2 linked regions of the Sus scrofa genome follow. The protein of the gene in region 1 purifies or fractionates together with the protein of each later gene. This does not show direct contact. Links are inferred from orthologs where the notes say so. Each region holds a gene or a part of one and is shown on either strand. Other genes may lie near its edges.

The links.
Region 2: the proteins of CDK7 (region 1) and ERCC2 purify together in Homo sapiens (affinity purification with mass spectrometry; 10 studies listed by BioGRID and IntAct, counting the BioPlex papers as one, with this or other methods). This does not show direct contact. The link is inferred for Sus scrofa from reciprocal best matches to the Homo sapiens genes CDK7 and ERCC2.

Annotation. Positions count from the first base shown.
Region 1 is NC_010458.4:47,424,693-47,439,906, forward strand, and holds the end of CDK7 (cyclin-dependent kinase 7), read left to right. Parts: intron 1-904; coding exon 905-1,004; intron 1,005-4,357; coding exon 4,358-4,444; intron 4,445-7,307; coding exon 7,308-7,457; intron 7,458-10,192; coding exon 10,193-10,340; intron 10,341-10,716; coding exon 10,717-10,745; downstream 10,746-15,214. UniProt on the Homo sapiens protein: Serine/threonine kinase involved in cell cycle control and in RNA polymerase II-mediated RNA transcription. Cyclin-dependent kinases (CDKs) are activated by the binding to a cyclin and mediate the progression through the cell cycle.
Region 2 is NC_010448.4:51,747,017-51,763,015, forward strand, and holds the start of ERCC2 (TFIIH basal transcription factor complex helicase XPD subunit), read right to left. Parts: upstream 10,493-15,999; 5' UTR 10,346-10,492; coding exon 10,341-10,345; intron 10,225-10,340; exon of another isoform or gene 10,008-10,224; coding exon 9,908-10,007; intron 8,748-9,907; coding exon 8,670-8,747; intron 8,596-8,669; coding exon 8,533-8,595; intron 8,349-8,532; coding exon 8,235-8,348; intron 3,371-8,234; exon of another isoform or gene 3,341-3,370; coding exon of another isoform or gene 3,257-3,340; intron 1-3,256. UniProt on the Homo sapiens protein: ATP-dependent 5'-3' DNA helicase. Component of the general transcription and DNA repair factor IIH (TFIIH) core complex, not absolutely essential for minimal transcription in vitro.

The sequences.
Region 1 (15,214 bases):
TGAAAAAAATAGTTCTTATTTCAAAAGGAGTTGAATTAACTCATTCCTCAGATATTTACCTAGTAATTTTGGTGTCTAATTTATACTTCTTTTATAGTTCAGTTAGGCTTGTTGAAACTTTCGTGGCTACGTAATCACCTGATTTGGGCGCCTATGTTTATTGATTGGTCATGATTCCATATTTTATATCACTCAGTGTGAATGAAAATACTCTCGACGAAGCAGTGCATTTATGTATATTTGGATTTTTCATATTAATGGTATTTTCTTTTTAAATTTTTTTTTTTTGTCTTTTTGTCTTTTCTAGGGCCGCACTCGCAGCATATGGAGGTTCCCAGGCTAGGGGTCTAATCGGAGCTGTAGCCACAGGCCTACGCCAGAGCCACAGCAACGCGGGATCTGAGCTGCGTCTGCAACCTACACCACAGCTCACGGCAACGCAGGATCCTTAACCCACTGAGCAAGGGCAGGGATTGAACCCGCAACCTCATGGTTCCTAGTCGGATTCGTTAACCACAGCACCACAACGGGAACTCCTTTTTTTTTTTCTTTTTAGGGCCGCCCTTGCAGCAGATGGAGATTCCCAGACTAGGGGTCAAATCGGAGCTCCAGCTGCCAGCCTACACCACAGCCACAGTCACACCAGATCCAGGCTGCATCTTTGACCTACACCGCAGCTCACGGCAACACCAAATCCCCAATCCACTGAGCGAGGCCAGGGATTGATCCTGAATCCTCATGGATCCTAGTCGGGTTCGTTAACCACTGAGCCACAAAGGGAACTCTGAATTAATATATCCATAAGAGTGAATTTCATCAGTGGATGTTGTTTCACTGAGTTTTCTCTAAGAAATACTTTAATAATTCCATTCTTAAAATGACAATATATCTTGTTGTTGCTCAGATGGTATCGGGCTCCTGAGCTACTATTTGGAGCTAGAATGTACGGTGTAGGTGTGGACATGTGGGCTGTTGGCTGTATATTGGCAGAGTTGCTTCTAAGGGTAAGTCTTAAATTGATGTACACATTTGAGTATTGTTCTAGAAGTTTGTTCTTACAATTTGTATAAGAATTATCTTCCCAGAGGTAATTCCCAGAGATGGACCATCCTAAAAACAAAAAGGCAACAGAGAGAACAATTTTAAAAAAACAAAAACAAAAAACCTCTGCAAAATGCAGCCTTTTTATTAATACTAATGCGAAATGAGAGGCCTCCCATTTAGGACCATAGTTTTATTGTAGATCATTTCTATGTTCTGAGATAGACCTAGAATAAAACTCTCACTGAGTTGTATGTAATATGGTACTATCTCTACAGTAACTAAATGTGTTTGGATGAACGTCTGTACTCCTTTTTTGGGGGGCTGTTTTAAAGGACACTTTAAGAGATGTAATACCAACCACAGCAGCTGCAACTCTGCATCACTTTAATGTATGAGGGGAGCATTTCAGTTCTCTTTAAGCAGAGCAGACATAGTGGTCCTAAGACCATCTTACAATGAAGCATTTTCTCACTTCCTTTTACTGGAGAGAAAGGTGCCATTTTGGGAAGTTTTTTTTTAGCCGTAAAGTTTAGTTTAGCCCTTCTCAGTGATGAAGGTAGAGGAATATTGAGGAATCTCACTAAGGCTGACTTTTTTTCTCCCTAAATTCCAGATTCTAGCTCTTACTCTCCCTCTCCTCAAGCTACATATATTTAAAGAAATGTGAACCCAAAACATGAAAATCTATTTATTTCCTTGAACACAAAAAATAGCTTTGCTACACCAGAGAGAGAAGTTACCTTCTTAAATGTCTTTTTTAGTTTAGTGTACGTTTTATGCATCATCTTGAGAAGCTCACCCCTCAGAATACTTGCATGTAAAAGAGAGCCTCACATTTAGGCTTGGAGGTAATATCAGTAATCCCTGTGCTAGTAATGGGACCTTTTGAATCATCTGGTGTGACAGCTCCGCTACTCAAAAGAACGTAGAGTTTATTAGAAATTTACATTCGAGAATCTATGAACTCTCAAAAGCATAGTTCACGCACGACCAAGACAAAATGGAATTTCATAGCCCCTAGTCATGACTGATCATTCCATTTAGAAAGTCAGTGGAAGCAAATAGCAGTTGAGAATATTCTTCCATGGTTGTTTTGTTTTGTGGGCTGTGCCTGCGGAGGTTCCTAAGCCAGGGATCAAACTTGTGCCATGGCAGTGACAATGCCAGATCTTTAATCTGCTGAGCCAACAGGAAACTCTCAGTGATTCATTTTTTAAAAGACAGCTTTTTTATTTTATTTTTTTGCTTTTTCAGGGCCACACCTTCAGCATATGGAGGTTCCCAGGCTAGGGGTCTAATCGGAGCTACAGCTGCCAACTTACACCACAGCCACAGCCATGCAGGATCTGTGCCGTGTCTGCAACCTACACCACAGTTCATGGCAATGCCAGATCCTTAACCCACTGATTGAGGCCAGGGATTGAACCTGAAACCTCATGGTTCCTAGTCAGATTCGTTTCCATTGTGCCATGACAGGAACTCCATAAATACATAATTTAAATAGTGGTTGTATTAAGTCTGGGTCCAATCACAATATTGAAGCCACACATTTATTTGAAAAGGGAAGCACAATATAAAGAATTATAAAAAATAAACTATGACAAGAGGTTGGAATAATGAGAGACTGACTTATAAAAAGTAAAGAGAACTCTAAATATAGAACTGGCAGATATAATGAGCAGCCCCTCATACCTAGGGGTAACCCTAGGACTAAGAGCACCCAAAGAAGAGGACCCACAGGGCTGAGATCTAGATCTCTTGAAGAGGGCTCAGAGGATGGCAGAGAAGCTGCCGTAGAGCTGTGCTGGCAGAACTTGCCGAAAATCTGCTCTCCAGAACATGTGGAAATCTATTCTCTTGGGATGTGGAGGAAAGCATTTCTCTGGAGCTGCTCTGCCACAAGACCATCTCCCAGGGGTTCTAGAGGGCAGCTGCTGGCTTCTGTGCACTGTTGGAGTTGGGCACTGGAAAGACTGCCCACACTGCAGGAACCTGGTATTGATTCTAGAAGCTGAGAGTGCTGCAGGAGCCTGCCAGGCAAGCAGGCTGGAGCCAGGAAGCAAAACTCTATTCTTCCTATAATGTCTCTTAAAGGGCCCAGATCCACTATTACAAGAAGTCAAAAAGGGTGACTTTGGAATATATTGATAACTGACAGAGGTTGGTTTTGTTTTGTTTTGCTGGTAGAGTTTCACAGTAATAAAAATGTTGGATACTTGGTACTTAATCTCATGTCTTCCCAGTAATTCTGTAAATTTTCATAGCCTTTAACAGTGCCAGAAGCCTCACAGAGTAGCGAAAACTCCTTTTTTCTTTTCGGTATATTTACATGTCTGAGAATGGTTTGAATATAATGTCTTTGCATGGCAGAATTTATCATTTTGTATCAGCTTACTAAATATTTAACTTGTAATTATTTATCTCCTTAAAGTTGGCCCATATAGCTCTTTAGAGATAGTATTTGCAAAGAGGTCGTTTAAATAAGATTGGGATATAGATGTATTCTCTTGCTTCCTAGCACTTGCACCTGCCCTTTTACTGGAATAGTTTTTTTCTTCCGTCTTAGACTTTTTGTTTGCAACTCTCCTCTTTGCTCTTCGGAAACTTTCACGACCACTCCTGTAGGAGTCTTCCCTGCCCTGTCTAGAGTGTCTTAGGTGCAGTTCCTGTGTGGGCTGGGATCCTATCCTGTGCTCTCACTAAACATATCGTCTTGTTCGGTAGTAGTAGTATCACTGTGCGCCATGTTCACTCCAAGGGGGAGTGGGGGCTGTCTTGTTCCCTTGTTTAAATGCCTAGGGCTTAGCACAGTGCCTCTTACATGCTAAGTATTTATTAACGATTTGAGGAGTGAATAAAATGGGCAGTGTGGTACTCTTGGTTAGCAACAGCAAGCTCTAATGCCACATTTGGTGTATCTTAGACCACATTTAAGTTCCTGTTAGTTTAGTTGTTCTTTCTTTCTTTCTTTTTGTCTTTTTGCCTTTTCTAGGGCCGCTTCCCGCGGCATATGGAGGTCCCCAGGCTCGGGGTCTAATCGGAGATGCAGCCACAAGCCTATGCCACAGCCACAGCATTGCGGGATCCAAGCTGCGTCTGCAACCTACACCACAGCTCACAGCAACGCTGGATCCCTAACCCACTGAGCAAGGCCAGGGATCAAACCATCAACCTCATGGTTCCTAGTCAGATTTGTTAACCATTGAGCTACAACGGGAACTCCAGTTTAGTTTTTCTTACTAAGTTTTTAGTATTGTTTGTGTAACAGCTGTCACAAACCATCTTGAATTACCTGCTTCTCGCTTTCTCTCAGGTTCCATTTTTGCCGGGAGATTCAGACCTTGATCAACTAACAAGAATATTTGAAACTTTGGGCACACCAACTGAAGAACAGTGGCCTGTAAGCCGTCATACATTTTCTTTGAAATTTAGTTAGGATTCTGTATAGTACTGTAATGTGAATATTACTTAAAGAAATATGTTAACGGTCCTAATTTGCTAGTAATATGTACTCACTGCAAAATTTATACAAAGTTAAAGTTGTGATATACCATCCAGCCTCATATAAACATAATAGCTCTCCCCCATCCAAGGGTTAATCACTGTTTCTTGGTGTGATTACATAGAGAATTGGGTTTTTTTTTTCTTTTTTTCTTTTTTTTTTCCTTTTTTTTTGATCAAAAATGGGATCACATCATATGATTTTTTATTGTAACCAACTTGTTCTTTTTTCTTAAATTAACTGTTAATGTTTTCCTTTTTAGGCCATATAGTATTTCATTTTATGGATGTTCATTTTTGTTTATCAACATCTTGATGGATTTAGGTATATTCATTGAATTTTCACTAACGCAATCAAGATTTTTTAGTATTATGATTATTTTTAACCCGTTACATTTTTTGCAAAAGAGTAATACTAAATCTGTGATAAAAAATTTGCAACACTGTAAATTGCTACATTTTATGTATTACAGTTCAGTAAAATTTTCACTTGTTTGTTCTTAATATTTTAGACTTTTCGATTTTCCTTCTCTATATATAGCCTGAGGAAAAAAATAAATACTGGAAAAGAAAATTTTTAATCAGCCTCTTTACCTTCTGATTAAAACTGTAATGAAGTTTCTTTTGTGCAGAGTTCTGTGCCTGCCTGCTTGGACCTCTCACAAGTGTCCTAGCTTAATAAATCTATTTCTTCCCTAAAAAAAAAAAGTTTCTTTTGTGCTATTACTTCCTCAGCTTTCCAGTTGAAAGTTGACTGTGAGTTCTAATAGCTATCATTTATCAGACACTTAGCTCTATGCCATTAGTATATAAGGTAAAGTTATCATAAGTTATGTTTAATTTTCCTAATAATCCTATTAAAGTACTGTTATTCCCATTTTACAGATGAGACAACTGGGTTTTAGTGAGATTAAATAACTTACCTGAAGCTACCCAGGGTCAAGAGCTAGGACTCCAGTCTGAATCTGTCTGACTTAAGATCTGTATTTATACTATTCTGTACTTTTCTCTCTGACATGATTTTCTAAATAGTAGTTAGTTACTGATGTTTTCCTTCAATTTTTAAAAATTCTTTTTGTAATTTAATTTTATTCTATTTTATATGATGATTTTTATTTTTTTCCATATGGCTGGTTTACAGGGGTTCTGTCAATTTTCAACTGTACAGCAAGGTGACCCAGTTACACATACATGTATACATTCTTTTTTCTCACATTATCATGCTCCATCATAAGTGACCAGACATAGTCCCCATTGCTACACAGCAGGAATTTAAAAATTCTTGTTTTGATTACATGCAAAAAGAAATAACAGAGGTATCCCTTGCACCCTTTACCTCTCTTCCCACAATGGTACCATCTTACAAAATTGGTATAATGTCACAACCAGCACGCCAACATGTGAATGTACAGGACCTCATGTTGCCCTTTCACAGTCACCCACTTTCTTTCCACTTCCACCCCTACCTTACCCCCTGCCAATCACTAATACGTTCTCCATTTTTATAACTTTGTCATTTCAAGAATATTATAAATGGAGTCATATAATATGTAAACTTTTGAAATTTACTTTTTTTTTTTTCCACATTCAGTGTAATTCTCTGGAGATTTATCCAGGTTGTTGTGTATCTCAGAAATTCATTGTACCAGTTTGCCTAACTATTTGCTCATTGAAGGACATCTGCATTGTTTCCAGTTTTACTATAAACATTCATTACAGGTTTTTGTGTAAGCACAAGTCTTTTTTTATCTGGGATAAATGCCCAGGAGTGCAGTTGCTGAGTCATGGTAGTTGCATATATAGCTTAAGAAACTGCCAAACTACTTTTCAGAGGGGCTGTATTCATATTATAGTCTCACCAGCAGTATGTGAGTAACCCATTTTCTCTGCATCCTCTCCAGCATTTGGTGGTGTCACTTTTTTATTTTAAGCATTATGAGGGGTTTGTAGTGATAGCTCATTGTGATTTTAATTTTTTCCTCCTTAATGACTGCTGATGTTGAATATCTTTTCATATGCTTATTTGTCATCTGTGTAGCTTTTTTTTTTTTTTTTTGGTCTTTTTTTAGGGCCACACCTGTAGCATATGGAAGTTTCCAGGCTGGAGGTCTAATTGGAGCTGTAGCTGCTGGCCTAACGCCACAGCCACAGCGACTCGGGGTTGGAGCCGTGTCTCTGACCTACACCACAGCTCACAGCAATGCCAGATCCTTAACCCACTGAGCAGGGCCAAGGGATTGAACCCTGTGGCCTCATGGATGCTAGTGAGATTTGTTTCCACTGAGCCACAATGGGAACTTCTCATCTGTGTAGCTTTTTTTTTTTTTTGGTCTATTTAGGGCCGCACCTTAAAAAAAATTTATACAAATTTGAGAACTCTAGACCTCCTTACAACATTGAATCCTCTAATCCATATGATAGATTTTAGCATTTATTTGGAGCTTTGATTTTGTTTCATCAGAGTTGTACAGCTTTCATTATATGAGTCCTACACATTTTGTTAGACTTTCATTCACCAAAGCATTTCATGGTTTTTCAGTGGTTCTAAATGGTATCCACATGTTTATTGTACAGTTGATTTTTTTGGAATCATTATCTTCCTGTAACATTGTTCACTTAGTTCTAAGAGATTTTAAATAGATTTCTTGGGATTTTCTACATAGATCATTGTATCATGTACACAGCCGTTTTATTTTTTCACTTGAGGTCTATATACCTTTCAATAGGTATGTTCTTAATGAATTATAAAAATATTTTTACAGGACATGTGTAGTCTTCCAGATTTCGTGACGTTTAAGAGTTTCCCTGGAATCCCGCTACAACATATCTTCATTGCAGCAGGAGATGACTTGCTAGATCTCATACAAGGCTTATTCTTATTTAATCCATGTACTCGAATTACAGCCACACAGGTATTTTAACATATCTTTTGATTTCTTAATGTGTTCTAATATTCTTAAAATACTGAAAAGATGGGGTTCTGGTTTTTTTAACTTAATTTTTTATTGAAGTATAGTTGATTTATCTGTTTTGTTTTAAGGAATAACAGATTTCATCTTCTCCCTAAGCTACAGACACTGTTCAAGACTGGTATTAAATTATATAATGTACATGCAGGTGCAGGAGAGTTTACTCTTGCTTAGGAACATATAAATACACTTCTATTTGATAATTTGCTTTCAACTTGAAAGTTTACTTAGGAAAAATATAAGGTTTTTGTATTTGTAAAGATACTGGTATATTTCAGTTAAATTCTTATGTGTTAACTTAAATCTCGTGCCAAAGCCTGTGCCAAAAGTATTTTGTTCAGTTTTTTCCCTATAAAATGCAGTCTAGATGTGCATGCTGGTCATTGTGGCAGTCCAAAAGTGATAATGGGAGTTCCCACCAGGGTGCAGCGGAAAAGACTCCGACTAGGAACCATGAGGTTGCAGGCTCGATCCCTGGCCTTGCTCAGTTAAGGATCTGGCGTTGCCATGAGCTGTGGTTTAGGTCACGGATGCAGCTCGGATCCTGCCTACAGCCTGTGGTGTAAGCTGGCAACTGTAGCTCCGATTTGACCTTTAGCCTGGGAACCTCCATATGCTGAGAGGTGAGGCCCTAAAAAGCAAAAAAGAAGAAAAAAAAAAGAAAGTGATAATGGAAAAGTTTTTTTTTTTTTCTTTGTTTTAAAAGCCACACACACAAAAGAAAAACAAGCACACACAAGTGGATGGAGTTAATAACACTTAAAATTGAGGCAGGGAAATGCAGTGCAAAAATGCAACACAGTACAATGATTTGGCTTCATAAAAGGAGAGACTGAAATGTCTCAGATCTTCATACCTGGCAGAACATGTTAATGCACCATATATCAGGGATACAAAGTGGATTTTTTTTCACTTAAATTTATTACAGACTCATTGTTTAACTCATTTATTTCTATTATTAGCCTTCTCTTCTTAGCAGCATGTGCTACATTGATGCATATATACTATGTATTTTACCATTGGAATTACCCTTCTAATTTCAAACAAGTAACTCATTTTTACTTTTTCACCCAGGCGTATATACATATTATCTCCAGCATAAGAAACTTGAGGCCAGATAAGATTATCTAGAAAGTTATTATCATAAACAATAAAACTCAAAATTTATAGAAAAATGCTAATTGTGATAACTTGTTTGGGTTGTATATTGATAGAATGAATTTATTTTAATGGGTTTTGGCTTGTGGATATTTAAAAGTTGAAATGAGATATTCTTTCTTTCTTAGATCTCTTTGTAGCTCAGAATTAGCTTAATTTACTTAGGAAACTGCTACGATTTGGAATTAATGCTTTTTGTAAGTGCAACTCTTTTTTTTTTTTTTTTTTTTCCCCCCCATTTCTTGGGCTGTTCCCTGTTGACATATGGAGGTTCCCAGGCTAGGGGTCGAATTGGAGCTGTAGCCGCCGGCCTACACCACAGCTCACCACAACGCTGGATCCTTAACCCACTGAGCAAGGCGAGGGATCAAACCCACAACCTCATGGTTCCTAGTCAGATTCGTTAACCACTGAGCCACGACGGGAACTCTGAAACTCTTCTAAAATAAGAAATCTCTAAATTATTCCTGCAGATAATACTATGTTGACTGGTGGAAGGAGGTATTAAAGTTTATATGACTTTTTTTGTTCCTTAGAGAATTATCCAAAAGGAAATGTCCTAAATTAATGTGGCTCTTGAACAGTACTACGATGCAAATAAAGTATGAACTTGACAATTTTGTCATCTAGAATAAAACTTTTTATTGGAATTTTGGACCTGAGTGGAAATATCATATTATAGAATATTGGACTGGTAGTAAATAGAAATAACCTTGGGCAAGTATTTCCAAGAAAATTACTGTCAATTTTAGTGGATTATTGGATTTTAATCCATTGTTTCCAACCTATTGCATCTTTTAAAAAGTTTTATTTCTAAGAATTTAGATGAGATGGTGAGTCCCCTATAGCACAGCGTGTTAAAGATCTGGTGGTGGTGTCACTGCAGAAGCCTGAGTCACTGCTGTGGCACAGGTTTGATCCCTGAAACATCCATATGCCATGGGAGCAGCCAAAAAAAAAAATACATGATTTTGAATTTGAATACATATAGATGTTCTGACAAATAAACTTGAGAGTTCTTTTTAAGCAAGTTTCTCTCTTTGTGTTTTGAACTGTAGAGCATATAATGTGTAGAGAGCTGAATTATGCAATATCTTATTAAGGATATTTCATATTTAGTACATGCTATTTATGGAAAAATTTGAAGGTAATCTTTTTCTAGTCATGGAATTGTCAGTGAATCTTAGGCTGCTAGATGTTTTTTCTTTCTTTTTTTCAGAGGGGGTGGGCAGCTGCATGCCTGGCATATGTAAGTTTCCACACCAGGGAGCAAATCCGAGCTGCAGCTGTGACCTACAGCTGTGGCAGTGCTGGATCCCTAACTCACTGTGCCACAGCAGGAACTCCTGCGAGATGTTTATTTGTATTAATTTGCACGTCCAGTACTTGAAATTAAGTTTGTGAAGGGGATTGTTCACATAGTATTGTTAATGCTCCTTACAGTTTTGGAAGTTAGATTTTCTTAAACACAATTCAGATACTCACTTAAAGCCTTACTTTGTTACCTTTTCTTTCGAAAGGCATTGAAAACTAAGTATTTCAGCAATCGGCCAGGGCCAACACCTGGATGTCAGCTGCCAAGACCAAACTGTCCAGTGGAAGCTTTAAAGGAACAGTCCAATCCTGCTGTGGCAACAAAACGGAAGAGAACAGAGGCCTTGGAACAAGGTAAAACTCTTGTTTTCATGGGAAATGAAGGGAATTCTGAAAACTCCAGATAACTGATATATAGGTAGTAGCTGAAGGGCAGCAGAGAGATGGAGACTGTTTATTTGTTCAAAACTTCAATTATGTAAAGTAGAATGTGGTATTTTAGCTGTATTTGCTTCAATTGAGAATATTTACGTAATGCTTTTTAAAAGGACAGTTTTGAGTGTATCTCAGAATTATAAGAACTGTCAGTATGTACCCTATTTCTATAAAATTCCTACTGGTACATTGTATTAGAAAACCAAAGCAAGTAAAAATAAATGTAGTTGGAATGCAGTGACTGGTTAAAATTGCTATAAGATGAAATGTAAACAACCTCATTTTTCCCCCCCAGGAGGATTACCCAAGAAGCTAATTTTTTAGTTACAGAGAACACTGGACAATATTCTACTACTGAAGGAAATAGTGGAAAAGGCAAATTAGTAGAAAAATAGTAAACATTAAGTAAAAAAGGAATTTGTAAATATTCTACCTGTGTAAAATATGTAAAATTGGGTTGTTTTTATTAAATGTATTTTAAAACAAACAATTCTGATTTTTCTGATTAGAGTGCAATGTAAGATAAATTCAAGTTTCTGAAATGTAGAATTGAAAATGCAAATGCATTAAGGAAACCTTAATAAGAATAATTTTCAGTTATTTTAGTGATCCAGCCCAGATAGCATTACAGATTTGTAGTAAAGGGGGTAGTACTGAAAACTAGAAAAACAGTAGTAATGTAGCAAATACCTACTACCCTGACTTAACAAATATTATATATTAAATGGGAGACAAAAAAAAAAAGGAGAGAATAACATTACAGATAAAATTGAGTTCCCTTTACTGTGTCGTTCCATTTTATTTTTTTCCTTTTCACCCTCCCCAAAGGAGAATGACTCACGAAATGAGTGTGTCCTCCCATCAGTTAATAGTGCTATTTTAGAAGAATGCCTGTGGTAATATACAGCATTTGGGTCTCAAAATTTTATGAGTGGTAGACTGTACATCTCATACAGCACTTTTTTTTTTACTCAAAATTTTAATATTTTATGTTCATATGTATAAATCTAGTTTTTGTTTTAACTGCCATGTAATAGTAATATATATATTATATATACATACACACACACACACATATAATACCGTATGTATAAACACTATGGCATGCTCTATTTATGGATTGTTGTTATTTTTCTTTTGTTGCATAAAAATTGCCATAAGTGTAGCAGTGTAAAGTAACACAGATTTATCCTGCAGGTCATATGTCTGGCATGGCTCACCTATATTTTTTTGCATAGGCCAGTATCAAGGTGGCAGTTGATTCCGGGCTCTTATCTGAGGCTCGAGGGAAGAATTTGCTTCCAGGTTCATACAGTTCATGTCATTTTAAGCACATGCCTCCTATCCTTGCTAGTGGTCAGTCATTGGTCCCTCTTGGCTTCTTAAGGCAGTCCAGTAGCCTTATTGCAGGGCACTCTTTATCTGTAAGCCAGCAAAACTGTCAAACTGTCTGGCTTCCTCATCTGTTACCAAGAGAGAGAAATCTTTTTTTGTTTTTGTTTTTTAATTTTTTAGGGCTAATATCAGCTCACTTAGGTCTTAATTATACATCTTAAAAACTCTCTTCATAGCAGTTCCTAGGTTAGTGCTTGAATAATCAGTACAGGAGTCTTTTTTCCATAGTATATATTGATGACTTTTTAAAAGTTTTTATTAGTATAGTTGATTTACCAAGTTATATTTCTGCTATACAGCAAAGTGATTCAGTTATATATACATATATATATTCCTTTTTTAATTACTTTTCCATCATGGTTTATCACAAGATAGTGAACATAGTTCCCTGTGCTAAACAGTAGGTCTTGTCTATCTATCCTATATATTATAGTTTGTGTATGCTGATCCCAGACTCCCAATCCATCCCTCCTCCACCCCGCTCCTCCTTGGCAGCTGTAAGTCTAGGATAGGAATCTTGAGAAAGCCATCTTTAGGATTCTGCCACATGGACATTTAGGTTATGTTTAGTTTTTCACAGTTATTAAAAAAATGGAATGTTGATTTGCACATGCAAGAGTTTCTCTAATGTACATACTCAGAATTGTAGTTGTGAGGTCAAGTATGTGTTTTCAGTTAGTGTTGATATTGCCATGTTTCTCCAAAGTAGTTATTACCTATCAGTTTACATTCCCAGTAGCTGTTCAATAGTTCTTAAAAATGAAGGAGCCCCTGGAGTTCCCGTCGTGGCACAGTGGTTAACGAATCTGACTAGGAACCATGATGTTGCAGGTTTGATCCCTGGCCTTGCTCAGTGGTTAAGGATCTGGCATTACCGTGAGCTGTGGTGTCAGTCACAGACTCAGCTTGGATCTGGCGTGGCTGTGGCTGTGGCATAGGCTGGTGGCTACAGCTCCGATTCAATCCCTAGCCTGGGAATTTCCATATGCCACGGGAGTCGCCCTAGAAAAGGCAAAAAGACCAAAAAAAAAAAAAAAAAAAAAAGGAGCCCCTAACCTTACACCGTATACAAAAATTAACTTAAAATGGATCAAAGACCTAAAGTTCAAAGATCTAAAACTATAAAAATTCTTAGGAAATAACATAGGAAAAAAAACTTTATAACATCAGATTTGGCAGGGACTTCCTGGATAGGACCTCAGAAGAACAGGCAACAAAAGTTAAAAATAGACAGTTTCGGAGTTCACGTCGTGGCGCAGTGGTTAACGAATCCGACTAGGAACCATGAGGTTGCGGGTTCGGTCCCTGCCCTTGCTCAGTGGGTTAACGATCCGGCGTTGCCGTGAGCTGTGGTGTAGGTTGCAGACGCGGCTCGGATCCTGCGTTGCTGTGGCTCTGGCGTAGGCTGGCAGCTACAGCTCCGATTCAACCCCTAGCCTGGGAACTTCCATATGCCGTGGGAGCGGCCCAAGAAATGGCAAAAAGACCAAAAAAAATAGACAATTTGGACTATATCAAAATTAAAAGCTTATGTGTATCAAAGAAACAGTAGAGTGAAAAAGCAACCTAAGGAATGAGAGTAAACATTTGCAAATCATCTATCTGGTAACGTGTTAATAACCAGAATAAAGAATATAGTTGTTACAGTTCAACAATTTAAAAAAATCCAATTAAAAAATGGATAGTGCTCACTTTGGGAGCTCATATACTAAAATTGGAAAGATACAAAGAAGATTAGCATGGCTCCTGTGTAAGGGTGATACCGAAATTCATGAAGCATTCCATATTTTTACAAATGAATCTATCTACAAAACAGACATATAGAGAACAGACTTGTGGTTACCAAGGGGTGGTGCTAGGAGGTAGGGAGTGGGTGGACTGGGAGTTGAGGGTTAGTAGATACAAACTGTTACATTTAGAATGGATGAGCAATGAGGTCCTACTGTATATAGCCCAGGGAACTATATCCAGTATCTTGGGATAGACCATGATGGAAGATAAAATAAGAAAATGAATGTTTATATAGATGTATGACTGGGTCATCTTGCTACATGGCAGAATTTGACACAACATTGTAAGTCAACTATACTTTCATTTAAAAAAAATAAAGGGAGTTCCTCTTGTGGCTCAGCAGTAAAAGCCCAGCTAGTATCCACGAGGACATGGGTTTGATCCCTGGCCTCACTCAGTGGGTTAAGGATCTGGCATTGCCATGAGCTGTGGTGTAGGTTGCAGACACAGCTTAGATCTGATGTTGCTGTGGCATAGGCCGGCAGCTTCAGCTCTGATTCTACCCCTAGCCTGGGAATCCGTATGCTGCAGGTGTGGCCCTAAACAAAAATACCAAAAAAAAAAAAAAAAGAGCGATGGACAAAGGACTTGAATTGACATGTCACCAAAAATGGTGTAGAAATGGCCAAAAAGCATATGAAAGATGCCCAACATCACTAATTATTAGGGAAATGCAAGTCAAAAACCACAATGAGCTATTACTTCACAGTTTTTAGGATGGCTACTATTTAAAAAAAAAACTTACAAAGAGTTCACTGGTGGCATAGCAGTTAAGGATCCAGCATTGTCATTGTAGCTTGGATCAATCCCAGGTGCAGCTGAAAAAAACAAAAAAACCAAAAAGCCAGAAAATAATGTTAGCATGTGGAGAAATTGGGACTGTTGTGCACTGTTGGTGGGGATGTAAAACAGTGCAGCAGCTGTGGATAACTGGTACTTCCTCAAAAAATTTAAAATGGAATCACCATACGATCCAGAAATTTCATTTCTGAGTATATTGAATGGAGTATCTCAAATGTATACAAATGTATACATTCATTAACCTTTATGTAAGAATCTATTTCACCTCATCATCTCTAGCACTCACAGAATCTTTGGGGTCTTTGCTAATTTGATACCTTATTCTTACTTTTTGTTGATTTTTACTGTGGCTTCTTTACACTTGCTAATCATATGTAATCCCTCCTTTGTGAACTGTTGATTCAGATTCTTTTAAAAATTAAAAAAAAAAATTTATACAGGAGTTCCCATTATGGCTCAGCAGGTTAAGGGACCCTAGTGTCCCTGAGGATGCAGGTTCAGTCCCTGCCATCACTCAGCGGGTTAAGGGTCTAGTGTTGCTGCAAGCTGCAGTGTAGACTGGCAACTGCATCTCTTGATTCAACCCCTAGCCTGGGAACTTCCATATGCCACAGGTGCAGCATTACAAAAAAAAATTTACGCAACTTTTAAAGGCTACACTCCTTTTACAGTTATTACAGAATATTGGCTATATTCCCCATGTGATACAGTACACCCTTGAGCCTGTCTTTCACCCAATAGTTTATATCCCCTACTCTCCTACCCTCTATTGTACCCTGACTATAATCACATCAATGAGTATCCTT
Region 2 (15,999 bases), on another chromosome or scaffold:
AAGCAAACAAAAACAGTATGTCTTAGGGAGCTCCCTCGTGGTCTAGTGGTTAGGGTTTGGTGCTTTCACTGCAGCCTGGGTTCAATACCTGGTCTGGGAACTAAGATCCCTCATCAAGCTGCTCCACACAATGATCAAAAAAAAAAAAAAAAAAAAAAAAGTTAAGTCACATATGGTGTCAATTATATCTGAATTTTTTTTTCTTAATTACACCTTGAAGATTCTTTAGCAGGTAAATTACAGATAACTGCTTTATCTTTTTTCTTTTTAGGGCTGTACCCAAGGCACATGGAAGCTCCAAGGCTGGGGTCAAAGTGGAACTGTAGCTGCTGGTCTACACCACAGCCACAGCAACACAGGATCCGAGCTGTACCTTCGAACTACACCACAGCTGATGGCAATGCTGGATCCTTAACCCACTGAGCGGGGCCAGGGATCGAACCCACATCCTCATGGATACTAGTCGGGATTATTACTGTTGCACCACTATGGGAATTTCTGCTTTATCTTTTAAAATGCTAAAACAGCCAGAACCTTAGCAAGGTCCAAGAATCAGAGGAAGCTGCTCTCCCCTGCAAGGCTCTGCTGGTAGCACCGTCACAGCCCAGGGCTGCCTTTCCTCAGAACCAAATCTTTTTCCTCACCAAAGGGAAGGCTCTGAGGCTGGCAACACCTCCCTCTCCTTTTCCCATTTCATCAGGCGCCAAGGAACATTCCTCATTTTTTAACATGCCTTTACACTTTTTAAAAAACAGGTCATGCAAATACATCGTACGAGGTATACAAAGTTAAAAGTGTCATAGAGTTGCTAGCGGGTTATGGATCTGGTGTTGTCACTGCAGTGGCATGGGTTTGACCCCTGGCCTGAGAACTTCTGCATGCCCTGGGTATGGGGAGTGGGGGGGAAAGCATCACATATGTTCCCACAGAAAAGTATTTTAAAACCCTGAAAATTTTAGCTGCGTGTGAAGCAGAGCCCCAAAGGCAGATCTATTTTGAAGAGCTAAATCCAAGCGAAGACTACCAGGCATATGCTTTTAAGTCCTTCCAAAGCAGCAGCCATGGGAGGATCAAAACCCAGATCGAAATACCTGCTCAATCTTTAGCATTATCCAAGGTCACTGTACATCTCGGGAGACGACTAAGATCCTGCCCTGAAGCACAGCTCATGCGGTTCAATATGTATACACGCTGTACGCTATATGCATACATATGATACCAACACAGCAATTAACAGTACTATATTAACATATTAATATAACACTATTGATTATTAACATATATTAACATAGTATTGCTTATGCACTTTTTCCCCCCACGGCATGCAGAAGTTCTTGGGTCAGAGATCAAACCCAATCCACAGCAGGGACCTGAGCTACAGCAGTGACAATGCCAGGTCCTTAACTGCTAGGCCACCTGGGAACTCCTGCTTATACACGTCTTATCACAGGTCCAGAAGATACAATCCACTTCCTTAATCCTCTACTTCTTATTTTCCTAAGGAGGACAGTGTCGACCACCACGTGAGCAGGTTCTGGACACACACATACATCCACTTCCTACATTTAAAGCCATTAATTTCAACTTCGGTTTATTTTTTATTTTTGATTTTACTAATATTGAGAAACTCCACTAAACTGTTATCACTAGTTATGGTGAAACTAAAAAATGTTAGGTTATGTGCTTCCCATCATGAAAGTGTCTTGTTGCCATTTTCAGGGACCTTAAAGACATCCCCGTCTTGAAGGCTCGTGACACGGCTCTCCTATTGCCGGCATTTACTAAATTTCTGCAGAAACACATTCAGGTAAGCAGATTCATTGACCAGCTTAACTTCAGTTTAAAGGAAAGGATCTTGGGGAGTTCTGTAACAAACCAGAGTGGCATCATGAGGACGCGGGGTCAATCCCTGGCCTCGCTCAGTGGGTTAGGGATCTGGCGTTGCCGTGGGCTGTGGTGTAGGTCGCAGCTGCAGTGGATCTAGCATGCTTTAGATATGGCCAGAAAGTAAAATAAAAAGATCTTGAAATTTTGCTCCAGGGTCTGTGGCAGCTTTCCTCTATCCCAATCCTCCTGCCATCAGATCAAAGGCTGACCACAGTTACGCTCCTCAACTCCATGTAGCAACAGCGGGACGGCGCAAAGTGGGCTGTGTGGAAGAGGCGGGGATTCTTTTGCTCCACAGCGTAACCAAGAATAGGGACAACACCCCTCCACGGGTGTAAACAAAGCGCTGGGGCCGCTGCCCTTCAAGAGATCATCCGTCACCTGTATTATCTCCATTAATTCTTATAAATGTTGCATAATACCACTCCACGAGGTTCCACACATAGAGCACTTAAAACAGTGCCTGGCAGGTTCCCATGGTGGCTCAGCGGTTAGTGAACCCGACTAGCCTCCATGAGGACACAGGTTCAATCCCTGGCCTCACTCAGTGGGTTAAGGATCCAATGTTGCTGTGAGCTGTGGTTTAGGTTGCAGATGTGGCTCAGATCCTGCGTTGCTGTGGCTGTGGTGTAGGCCTGCAGCTACAGCTCTGATTAGACCCCTAGCCTGGGAACCTCCATATGCCATGGGTTTGGCCCTGAAAAGACAAAAGACAAAAAAAAAAAAAAAAAAGACTGGAAACTATCAAAAAAGATATTGTACTCCAGAAGACAAAGAGGAGGCCACATCAAGACAGTAGGAGGGGTGATTACACGATATAAGCCACCCCATACCCACCGGGTGGGCAGGCCACCAACGGGAAAGTAACTGTATCACAGAGGCTCACCCACCAGAGTGAGAGTTCTGAGCCCCACGTCAGGTTCCCACACCCAGGGATCTGGCACTGGGAAAAGGAGTCCCCGGAGCATTTGCTGCTGAAGGCCAGCTGGGCTTGTGCGCAGGGGTTCCACGGGACTAGGGGAAACAGACACTCCGTTCTGGAAAGGTGCACCCAGGCTTTCATGTGCCCTGGGTCCCGGGGCAAAGCAGAAGCTCCATAGGAATCTGGGTCAGACCTGCCTGTGGTTCTTGGAGGACCTCCTGGGAAAACGGGGGTGACTGTAGTTGTTGTAGGGGAAGGAGAGCGGAGGCAAAGGTCTCAGGAATAATTGTCAGCATGCGCTCCTCTACGGGTGCCCATTTTGGAAAAATCTGGCCCCACCCATCAGCAAACAGGCTGTCTAAAGACCCGGCCCAGGCACATGCCATCTCTAATCACACCAGAGACAAAGCCCCACCCACCAGAGGGATAAGAATCAGCTCCACCTACCAGGGGGCAGGCACCAGTCTCTCCCATCAAGAAGCCGGCCACAAGCCCCTGTGTACCAACTTCAGCCACAAAGTGGGGGGACATCAAAAGCAGGAGAGGCTACAACCCCATTGCCTGTAAAAAGGAAACCACACAAAAAAGCTCTACAAAATGAAAAGGCAGAGAATTATGACTCGGATAAAGGAACAAGAAAAAAGTCAGAAAAATAGCTAAGCGATCTGCAGATTACCAACCTCCATGAAAAAGACTTTAGACTGATGTTAGAAAAGATGATTCAAGACCTTGAAAATAAACTGGAAGCAAAGATCGATAAATTACAAGAAACAGAAAAGAAATAGAAGACTGAAAGATTAAGAAGAGAATGCAAAATGCAATAGCTAAAATAAATTCACTAGAAGGAACCAATGGCAGGCAGAAGAATGAAGAATGAAGACAGACTGGTGGAAAACACTGACAAAGAACAGAAAAGAGCAAAAAGATTAAAAAGAAATGAAGACAGTCAAAGAGAACTCTGGGACGTTAAACGCACCAACATCCATATTACAGGGGTGCCAGAAGAAGAGAGAGAAAGGGCCAGAGAAAATATTTGAAGAGATAAGAGCCAAAAACTTGCCTAACATGGGAAAGGAATCAATCACTCAAATCCAGGAAGCACAACAAATACCAGGTAAAACGAACCCAAAGAGGGAATTCCCACTGTGGCTCAGCAGTTAAGGAACCTGACTAGTATCAATGAGGACTCAGGTTCAATCTCTGGCACGTACAGTGGGTTAAGAACCTGGCGTTGCCATGAGCTGTGGTGCAGGTCGCAGATGCGGCTCAGATTCCGCATAGCTATCTATGGCTGTGGTTTAGGCTGGCAGCTGTAGCTCCCATTAGACCCCTAGCCTGGGAACCTCCACATGCCGTGAGTGCAGCCCTAAAAACAAAAAAAAAAAAGGAATCCAAATTGGAAAGGAAGAAGTAAAACTGTCACAACTGTCACTGCAGATGACATGATACCATACCTAGAAAATTCTAAAGACACTACCAGAAAACTCTTAGAGCACATCAATGAATTTGGTAAAGTTTCAGGATACAAAATTAATACACAGTAATTGACTACATTATATGCCAACAATAGAAGATCAGAAAGAGAAATTAGGTAAACAATCCCATTTACCACTGCATCAAGAAGAATAAAATACCTAGGAATAAACTTACCTTAAGTCACAAAAGACCTGTACTCTGAAAACTATAAGACACTATAAAGCTCAAAGATGAAAGAAATGAAAGAGGACACAAACATATGAAAAGATATATACCACACTCTTGGATTGGAAGAATCAATAGTGCCAAAATGATTATACTTCCAAAGGCAATCTACAGATTCAATACAATCCCTATCAAACCAATGGCATTTTTCACAGAACTAGAACAAAATATTTTAAAGTTTGAAAGCACAAAAGACCCAGAATAGCCAAAGCCATCCTGAGAAAGAAAAATGAAGCTGGAAGAATCAGGCTCCCTGACTTCAGACTATACTACAAAGCTATAGTCATAAAAACAGTATGGTACTGGCATCAAAAAAAAAAAAAAAAAAAAACCCGCCAGAAATATAGACTGGCAGAACAGGATAGAAACCCAGAATTAAACCCAAATACCTATGGTCAACTAATCTATGACTAACGGGACAAGAAAATACAACGGATAAAAGATAGTCCCTTCAATAAGTGGTGCAGGGAAAACTGAGAGCTAGATGTAAAACAGTGAAATTAGAACACTAACACCATACACAAAAATGAACTCAAAATGGATTAAAGACCTGAATATAAGACCAATTACTATGAAACTCTTAGAGAAAAACAGGCCAAACACTCTCTGACATAAACCACAGAATTACCTTCTCAGATCCACCTCCAAGAGTAATGACAATAAAAACAAAAATAGGAGTTCCTGTCATGGCACAGCGGAAACAAATCTCACTCAGTGGGTTAAGGATCCGGCGCTGCCGTGAGCTGTGGTGTAGGACACAGACACAGCTAGGATCTGGCGTGGCTGTGGCGTAGGCTGGCAGCTACAGCTCCGATTAGACCCCTAGCCTGGGAACCTCCATATGCTGTGGGGGCAGCCCTGAAAAGACAAAAAAAAAAATAAACAAAAATAAACAAATAAGACCTAATTAAACTTAAACGGTTTTACACAGCAAAGGAAACCCTAAACAAAATGAAAAGATAACCCACAGGAGTTCCCGCTGTGGGTCAGCAGTTTAAGAACCCGACTAGCATCCACGAGGATAAACGTTCGATCCCTGGCTTCACTCAGTGGGTTAAGGATCCTGCGTTGCTGTGAGTTGTGGTGTAGGTCACAGACACAGCTAGGATCCCATTACTGTGGCTGTGGTGTAGGCCGGCAGCTACAGCTCTGATTAGACCCCTAGCCTGGGAACCTCCATATGCCATGGGTACAGCCCTAAAAAGACAAAAAAGAAAAGGAAAAACAACCCACAGAATGGGAGAAAACATCTGGAAATGAATTGACTAACAAGGGATTAATCTCCAAAATTTATAAACACCTTCTGCAGCTCAATACCAAAAAAACAAACAACCCCATCAAAAAATGGGCAGAAGATCTAAACAGACAATTCTCCAAAGAAGACATACAGACAGCAGAAAAACACATGAAAAGATGTTCAACATTTATTAGAGAAATGCAAATCAAAACCACTATGAGGTACTACCTTACACGGGGCCAGAATGGCCATCATCAAAATCTACAAACAGGGAATGCCTGTTGTGGCACAGAGGAAACAAATCCAGGATTTGGGTTTGATCCCTGGCCTTGATCACTGGGTCGGGGATCTGGCGTTGCTCTGAGCTGTGATGTAGGTCACAGACGCAGCTCAGATCCCAAGTGCCTGGGGCCGTGGTGTAGGCCGGCAGCTATAGCTCTGATTCGACCCCTAACTGGGAACTTCCATATGCTGCAGGTGTGGCCCTTAAAAGGCAAAAAAAAAAAACCCAAAGTCTACAAACAATAAATGCTGGAGAGGGTGTGGAGAAAAGGGAACCCTCTTACACTGTTGGTGGAAATGTAAATTGGTACAACCACTATGGAAAACAGTATGGAGATTCCTCAAAAAACTGAAAACAAAATTACCATATGATCCAGAAATTCCACTCCTGGGCATCTATCCAGAGAAAACCTCCATATGCCGTGGGAGCGGCCGGAGAATTGGCAAAAAGACCAAAAAAAAAAAAAAAAAAAAAAAAATTTTTTTTTCTTAAATTTATCACCACACACATTTACAATTTTTTTTCTTTCCCACCGTGCTCATAGCATATGGAAGTTCCCAGGCCAGGGATCTCAAACCCTCACTACAGCACTGACCTGAGCCGCTGCAGTAACAACCCCAGATCCTTAACCTGCTGGGCCACAGGAGAATTTCACAATTTTTTTTCTTTTTAAGGCCAATTTGAGGCACATGGAAGTTCCCAGGATAGGGGTCTAATCAGAGCCACAGCCACGCCAGATCTGAGCCACATCTGCAACCTACACCACCGCTCACAGCAACACCAGATCCTTAGCCCACTGAGCCAGGCCAGGGATCGAACCCACATCCTCATGGATCCTAGTCGGGTTCATTAACCACTGAGCCACAAAGGGAACTCCCTTCACAATTTTTTTTCCTTATAATGAGAACTTTTAAGATTTATTCTCTTAAAACTTTCAAATATATGATAGAGTATTATGAGCTATGGTCACCATGCTGTACAGCTGCCCTCAGTATCTGCGGGGGGCTTGGGGGGGGGACTAGTTCCAAGTCCGCCCCACGGATACCAAACCCGCAGATGCTCAAGTCCCTTATATTAAATGGCACAGTAGCCACGACCTATGTCACAGCAACATCAGATCCGAGCTGTGTCTGCGACCTACACCACAGCTCACAGCAACGCCGGATCTTTAACCCGCTGAGAGAGGCCAGGGATCGAACCAGCAACCTCATGGTTCCTAGTCAGATTCGTTTCCACCGCACCATGATAGGAGCTCCCCTATCCGCAGGTTTTGGATCCACACATAACAGGGCCAAGTGTACATTACATCCCCACGACCTATTTCTTTTATAACTAGTCTACTTTTTTGACCCCTTCACCCATTTTGCCCAGCCCCCACCCCTTGCCCAAACTTATCAACAACTGTATGAAGCAGGTAGTTAATTTTTTTGGCCGTGCCCATAGTATGTGGAAGTTCCTGGGCCAGGGATCGAACCCGAGCCACAGTTGTGACCTGCACCACAGGTAATGACACTGAATCTTAACCTGCTGTGCCACCAGGCAACTCCAGGTAGTTAATTACCCTCATTTTACAGAATGGAAGACTGAAATCCAGAGAGCAGAAATCACCTATGCAAGAGTACACAGCCGAGTTCCCACTGTGGCACAGCAGGTTAAGGATCAGGCATGGCCTCAGCTGCGGCTCGGATTCAGTCTCCGGCTGGGAAACTTCCAAAAGTGTGGCCAAAAACGAAAAAAACAAAATAAGTACATGACCAGCCCGTTTCAGAGCCAGGCAAGCAGGGCTGCCGGAGTCCGGAGCTGGGAAGAGGGGTGCTTACCAAAACGCGGTGTCAGCACTTGAGTGAGAGGAGGACTCTGCGTCCCCAGAACATCCCCCGAGAGGCCTAGTCTGGGGATCCAGGGCTCCTGGTTGGACCAAGAGTTTCCTCAACCCAGGGAGTTCCCACTGTGGCTCAACGGAAACGAATCTGACTAGCATCCATGAGGACGAAGGCTTGACCCCGGCCTCACTCAGTGCGTTAAGGGTCCGGCATTGATGTGAGCTGTGGCGTAGGCCAGCAGCTGTAGCTCTGATTCGACCCCATAGCCTGGGAATCTCCGTATGCTGCGGGTGTGGCCCTAAAAAAAAAAAAAAAGGAAAGAAAAAAGAAAAAGTTTCCTCAACCCTAAGGCTTAGGGCAAGGGGCAGGACAGGCACTCACCTCGGGGTGAATACACAGGTTCTTCCGGGAGCTCAGAGCCAGCCCCAGGAATGGCAGCTTCTCGCCCTCCTGTTTCTCATAGAAGCTGAGTAACTTTCGAAGCTCTTCAATCACCTGTTCCAGTTGATGAGGGAGCAGGACTTGGCCTGATTGAAAGCACAAGCCCCAGCCCCTGCCCAGCCAGGCCCCCACCCCTTACCCGGCTTTCCAAACGCCCCTGAAGCTCTGGTGGCAACTGCCAGGGGAACCCAAGGGCTCCGACCGAGTCGGGGAGCAGTGGGCTTGGCTCCAGGCTCACCTTCTCAATCTCGGGCACAGTCCTCGAGCAGTAGATGAGTTTAGTCACCTCCAGCGGATACGCCTGCCGACGACAATGGGCTCAGCCTCTTCCCCCTCCAGCCTCTTCCCCCTCCACGCGCCCAGTGGGTCACTCACCCGCTGGTATGCCATGATCAGGGCCAACAGGGACACGGTCTTCCCGGTGCCTGAGGGCATCTCCAGGACTCCGTGACCCTGGTGTTGAGGAAGAACAAGGCTCTCAGAACTTCAGAGACACAAACTCTGGGGAGTGCCCCCCCCCAATCCTGGAAGAGCATGTCAACACATCAGTTAAAAGTCTGGGCCCCAGGGCAGTGGATTTGAACCCCACTTCTGTTGAGTGGACTTAGGCAAATGCCTTCACCTGGCTGGGCCTCAGTATCCTCATCTCTAAAATGGGTCTCTTCTTCATAGCACAACTAGGAGGACGAGTAAGAAACTAGGTTTAAACATTCCGCATAGTACCCAACAGGTAGTGAATCCTTTTTAATGTAGCAAGCCCCTCCCCAGCACTTACTCTGGGTCTGGCACCACTACCAAGGGTCCTACATCAGTTTCTCAACAGCGAATCTATTGACATTTGGGGGCTGGATAATACTTGATTGTGAGTTCTCTGGGTGGTCTAGGGGTTAGGACTCAGTGTTTTCACTGCTGAGGCCCGGGTTAAAAAATTGTAAAAACAAACAAACAAACACCTGGGAGTTCCCTGGAGGTCTAGTGATTAAGGATTCGGCATTGTCACTGCTGTGGCTCAGGTTTGATCCCTGGCCCAGGAATTTCCACATGCCCTGGGCATGCCCCCCCTCCAAAAAACCCCAACTTGATTGTGGGGGGTTGTCCTGTGCACCTTACAATGTTTAGCAGCATCTGTGGCCTCTAGATGCCAGCCACACCCCCTCCCCACTAGTATGACAGCCAGGAATGTCTCTTGATATCGGTGAATGGGGGGGAAGGTAGAGGGGTGTCAAAACGTTCCTTAATTGAGAACAGCTGCTTTAGGTAGTGAATTAACCCCTAGAGCCTTCATATTAACCTCTAAGGTAGGTATTATTACTAGGCTCGTTTTACAGAGGTGAAAACTGTTCACAGGGAGGTTAAGTGAGTTACCCAAGGGCACACAGCTGTGGGTCCAGGATTCCAACCCAAGGAGCTGGTTCCAAACTCTTTATGTTCCTAAGCCAGCCGCTGAGCAACGCAGCCTCTGATAAATGTTAGCTGCTGCTGTTATTAACCCGTATTATTTTAGATAAGACGAAGTTTGGCCGTACTGGCCTCCCACGGACCTCAGATTTCCAAACTCTAGACGTCCTGCAATCTCAGTCTTAGACGCACGTGAGGCAGCCCCAGCCACCCACCTTGGCATCCAGCGTGCGTTTAAGCTCCAGCATGTAGGAGAACTGCTCCGGGTAGATGTAGTCGTACGGGAAATAGACCAGCAGCCCGTCCACGTTGAGCCTGGAGGCAGGGGCTGCCGGGTCAGTCGCCCGTCCCCTCAGCCCCTCTCCAGCACCCACACTCCGCTGTCGTCAGGCCGAGAGGGGTTACCAGCCCGAAACTGGCCCGCTGGTCTCCCCAGATATCCCCGAGTTGCCCAGGAGCCTCTGGGTACCTTTGGCATCTCATCGCTGACTATCCCCGTTACCGCCCCGTGGGTCCCCACGGCTATCCCCACCCCACCCCTTCAGCCTCCCCTCGCCCCGCTGGGACCCCAGGGGCGCCCACGGGTCCTGGCATCGTCCAGACTCCCGCGCCCGCTTCGCAAGCCGCGAGCCCCCGAACCCCTCTCACTTCATGGCGCCGGCCGCTACTCGCAGAAGCGTCGGCCCGCCTCCCTCATGAATATCTAGTAAAGGCAGGGTCCGCAGGGCGTCCTCGAGGCTCTGCTCCACCTTCGTCAAGACACCATTGGCTGATTCCTCCCGTCACTCCACTGGGGGGCCGTCAATCGGATAATGCGCGTGCGCACGGCAAGGCAGGGGCGGGGGGGCGGTACCACAGGCATTGCTGAGGATCGCCGAGGACCAAGAACAAAACATGGAAGGAAGAGAACCGAGAGAATCGATCCTACTTACTGGGATTCTGGCTTCCTGCATATGTCTGAATTATGAGCAGTGAATACACACTTGATTTCATTCTATTATAGTCTAGCTTTTAAGATGCCCCCTCCACTTGAACAAAGTAATCAGGACTAGAATGGGGGGCCCTAGAGAGGGTTCCTGACCCTGCCTGGGGGATCAGAGAGGGCTTCCTGAGGGAGGGGTCGGGTGAGGAGTAAGTGAGGCAGGGTAAGGTGGCCCAGACTTCGCTGCAGGCGCAGAGGACACCGCTGAAGGCAAGTGGAAGCAGAGGACAGCAAGATGGGGCTGGAATGCGGCTTGGGGAGCACAAACCTCCGAAATGGAAGCCATCCCATGCTTTACACCCAGCCATTTGACATCTCACATGGTCGTTATTCCCAGTCTGTTCTCCTGTACGTGGTAGTGCAAGGAGCACCTGCGTGGCATCTTTTTTATGTTGTTGTTGCTTTTTAGGGCCGCACGTGGGGCACATGGAGGTTCCCAGACTAGGGGGTCTAATTGGAGCTACAGCTGCTGGCCTACACCACAGCCATAGCAACTCCAGATCCAAGCCTCCCGCGTCTGTGACCTACACCACAGCTCACAGGCAACACCAGATCCTTAGCCACTGAGCGAGGCCGGGGATCAAACCCAAAACCTCATGGTCCCTAGTTGGATTTGTTTCTGCTGCACCACGAGAGGAACTCCAGTGTGGCATCTCTTAAGGCTCAGGGTCATGTCTCACTAAATACTTCAACCACTGCCTAACTTGTGAAAGTATATTCTCATTTGACTGTGATAAATGCCATGTGTGGGTATGTGTCATTATCCCCACTTTTTTTTTTTTTTTTTCCCCAGGACCTCACCCACAGTATATTGAAGTTTCCAGACTAGGGGTCAAATCAGAGTTACATCTGCTGGCCACAGCCGCAGCAACACCAGATCCGAACTGTGTCTGCAACCTACACCACAGCTCTTGGAAACGGCAGATCCTTACCCCAATGAGAGAGGCCAGGGACTGAACCCACATCCTCATGGATCCTAGTCAGGTTCGTTAACCGCTGAGCCACGAAGGGAACTCCTTCATTATCCCCACTTGCCCAAGGCTTTACAGCTAGGCCAGGTGCCGCTACCCATGCCACCCCCATCCCAGCCCTGCCCGCTCTGGGTTGTCACAGCCCGGGGATGGTTCTGTCTCCCCCACTGGACTGTGAGCTCCAGGAGTATAGGGCTGACACTGTTTGGGTCACTGCTTTGTGCCCTTTGCCACCAAGTACGGGGCCTGCACAGACCAGGGGTTCAGTAAATATATGCTCAGGTCCCTCACAGTCTGCCCTGGAAAACTGTACTGTGAGATTTTATATGAGGGGCTTCAGTATTCATAGATTTTGGTATCCCTGGAGGAGCCATTCCTCCCGCTTATACCAAGAGATGCAACCTATGCCACAGCTGTAGCAACACAGCATCTTTAACCCACTGTGCCAGGACAAGGATCAAACTAACACCACCACAGAGACAAGCCAGATCACTAACCCACTATCCACAGCAGGAACTCCAAGGGATGACTGTATTTTCTTTCTTCCTTTTTTTTTTTTTCCACTTCTTTCTTTGCTTTTTAGGGCCACACCTGAGGCATATGGAAGTTCCCAGGCTAGAGGTCCAATCAGAGCTATAGCTGCCGGCCTACACCACAACCACAGCAATGCCAGATCTGAGCCACATCTGCAACCTACAACACAGCTCGCGGCAACACCAGATCCTTAACGCATTGAGCGAGGCCAGGGATGGAACCTGCATCTTCATGGATACTAGTTACCACTAAGCCACAATGGGAACTCCAGATGACTGTATTTTCAATCCACTGTTGGTTGAGCAGAACCCACGGGTAGGGAGCGCCAAGTGTAAAACATTTCTTAGAATACATCTCTACATCCAGCTCCTGGTCAAGGGGAGGCTTTACTCAAGGACGTGACTGCCAGATGGCAGGGGTGATTGAGAGCCTTCTTGTAGTCATAGTTCTCTGTGTCTGGAAGGCTCTTGCCTCAGCCCCCGACTCTTTCTCTTCCCCAGAACCCTCCTTCAGTTTTACCTGAATCTGTCTCCAGAATCATAATTCTTTTTTTTTTTTCTTTTCTGCTTTTTTAGGGCCGAAGCCAGCGGCATATGGAGGCTCCCAGGCTGGGGGTCTAATAAGAGCTACAGCCGCCAGCCTATGCCATAGCCACAGCCACACGAGATCCAAGCCGTGTCTACAACCTATACCACGGCTCACGGCAATGCCAGATCCTTAACCCACTGAGCGAGACCAAGGATCGAACCTGCAACTTCATGGTTACTACTTGGATTCATTTCTGCTACACCACAACGGGAACTCCTAGAATCACAATTGTCTTATTGCAGCCTTCTGTGTTTTGTTCTGTGTTAATTTTTGGTTGACACATGTAAGGGAACATTAAGAGGTTCCAGGGATCAGGGCCTGGAGACCTTTGGGGACCATTATTCAGCCTACCCAGGATGCATTGCAATTTAAATAGGGTAGCCAGAAGTTCCCCTTGTGGCTCAGCGGTAATGAACCCAACTAGTATCCATGAGGACGTGGGTTCCATCCCTGGCCTTGCTCAGTGGGTTAAGGATCTGCTGTTGCCAGGAGCTGTGGTGTAAGTCGCAGACGCAGCTCAGATCTCACGTTGCTGTGGCCAAGAGCTGCAGCTCTGATTTGACCCCTAGCCTGGGAACTTCCATATGCCGCGGGTGCGGCCCTAAAAAGACAAAAAAAATGTATAGGGTAGTCAGGGAAGGCCTTGCTGACAATAGCCACAAGGTTGTTGTGTGGTGAGAATCCCAGTTGACTCTGATATGCGCCAGGGAATATCTGTCCTAAAGAAATCAAGTTATTTAGGGTAAGAGTCCCACAAATAGATAGGCTGTCATGAGTTATTTTAGGATAAGGGTCTGACTAAGTATCCCGCATTTTTGGCAGATGTTCTAGATGCCTATGTTAGGACAATAGGTGGTCAAAAGGTCAGATTCCATCCAGGCTGAGAGGTGCCTAAATCACACTTCCTCAGTGGCCTCCCAGCTCCATTTGAGAGCACTCTTCTAGCAATACTGACTCCATTTTTATTTTGATCCCACAGATGGCAAAAAGGGAATTTGCAGATATGACCTTGAGCTATCGAGGTGTGTCGGAAATGTAATCACGTGTCCTCCTAAGAGGGAGATGGTGCAGCAGGACAGAAACAGAGGCGATGTGACACTGAGGCAAGATGCCAGGCTGCAGGCTTTGAAGATGAAGAGGGCAGAGCCAAAGAATGCAAGGAATGCAGTTCTAGAAGCTGGAAAAGGAAATGAAATTGATTCTCCCCTACAGCCTCTGGAGGGAGCGCACCCCTGCCAATACCTTGATTGCGGGCCAGCCTGGTAAAACTAACTTCAGACTTCTGATCGTCTGAATGGTAAGAAAATAAATGTGTGTTGTTTCAAGCCATCAAATTTGGGGTCATTTGTGACAGTAGCCACAGGAAAAGAATACACTTCCAATCGGGCACCTATACTCACCTCGCCTACTCTAGCTTTTTCCATAGCAGTGATCAGCATTTAATAGAATATGGGTTTTTTTTGCTTTTTTTTTTTTTTTTTAATCATCTGTCTCTTCCACTAGAATGTCAGCTCTACAAAAGCAGGAGCATTTTATCCCCAGTTATTAAGGACAATTTCAAATGGGCACAAAAGTTGAGAGAAGAGTCTAAGAGTCTAACGAAGCCCCACATACAGGGAGCTTTATCAGTTTTCAACTCCGAGCTGATCTTGCTTCGTCTATACCCCAACCACTACCCCGCCCGCCGGATGATTATTTTGAAGCAAATCCCAGACATCATACCATTTCACCCCTGAGTATTTCAGAATGTAGCTCTAGGAGTTTCCGTTGTGGCTCAGTGGTTAATGAACCCAACTAGCATCCATGAGGACTCGGGTTCAATCCCTGGCCTTGCTCAGTGGGTTAAGGATCTGGCTTTGCTGTGAGCTGTGTTGTAGGACACAGAGGCAGTTCAGATCCTGTGTTGCTGTGGCTCTGGCGTAGGCCAGTGGCTCCAATTGAACCCCTAGCCTGGGAACCTCCATATACCACTGATGCTGCCCTAAAAGACAAAAAGACACACACACACACACAAAAGTGTAGCTCTAAAAGTAAAGACTCTTGGGAGTTCCCTTGTGGTGCAACAGGTTAAGGATCCAACATTGTCACTGCTGTGTGGGTTCAGTCCCTGGCCTGGGAACTTCCACATGCCACAGGTTCAGGGAAAAAAAGAGAAAAGAAAAAGCTCTTTGTAAGAACATAATCATAGTGTCATTACCCTACCTCAAAAAAAGGAGTAATAATTGCTTACTATCATTCAAGGTGCAGTGTTTGCATTTGAAGGCAAGGACTTTTTTTTGGGGGGGGCTGCACCCACAGCATGTGGAAGTTCCCAGGCTAGAGGTGGAATCAGAGCTGTAGCTGCCAGCCTACACCACAGCTCACAGCAACGCCAGATCCCTGACCCACCGAGCAAGGCCAGGGATCAAACCTGAATCCTCATGGATGCTAGTTGGCTTTGTTTCCACTGCAGCACAACAGGAACGTGGGATCCCGAGTTGCTGTGACTGTGGTGTGGGCTGGCAGCTGCAGCTCTAATTCCACCCCTAGCCTGGGAACCTCCATATGCCACAGGTGTGGCCCTAAAAAGCAAAAAAAAAAAAAAAAAAAAAAAAAAGGAAAGAAAAGAAAACTGAAAGTTCAAGCCAGAAGATTCAAAATCCAAATGAAAATTCCAGGAAAGGAGAGCAAGAAAACAAAGTGGAAGAAATCAGCACATAAATATACAAGGGAGTTTCCCAGAACCAAAGGGCATGAAGGTCCAGACCGAAGGGACCAGACGTCTGGTCAGAATGATGAATGAGTAAAATAACCTGACACAACAGATTATAGAAGGAGATGGCCTCAAACTTCAGATGATGGGATTATCACATATACACTATAACATCACAAATCTAAAGACGCTTAAAGACATAAAGGAATCCAAAACATGAAAAAAGATCAAGATAATACCAAAAAGGAGTTCCCTGGTGTATCAGCAGGTTAAGGATCTCGTGTCATCACTGCTGTGGCTCTGGTTACTTCTGTGGAGTGGGTTCGATCCCTGGCCCAGGAACTTCTGCATGCCCCAGGCTTGGGAAAAAAAAAAACAAAAAACAAAAAAGAGGTCCTGTTGTGGCTCAGTGGTTAGCGAATCCGACTAGGAACCATGAGGTTGCAGGTTCCATCCCTGGCCTCGCTCAGTTGGTTAAGGATCCAGCGTTGCCATGAGCCGTGGTGTAGGTCGCAGATGCGGCTCGGATCCCGCGTTGCT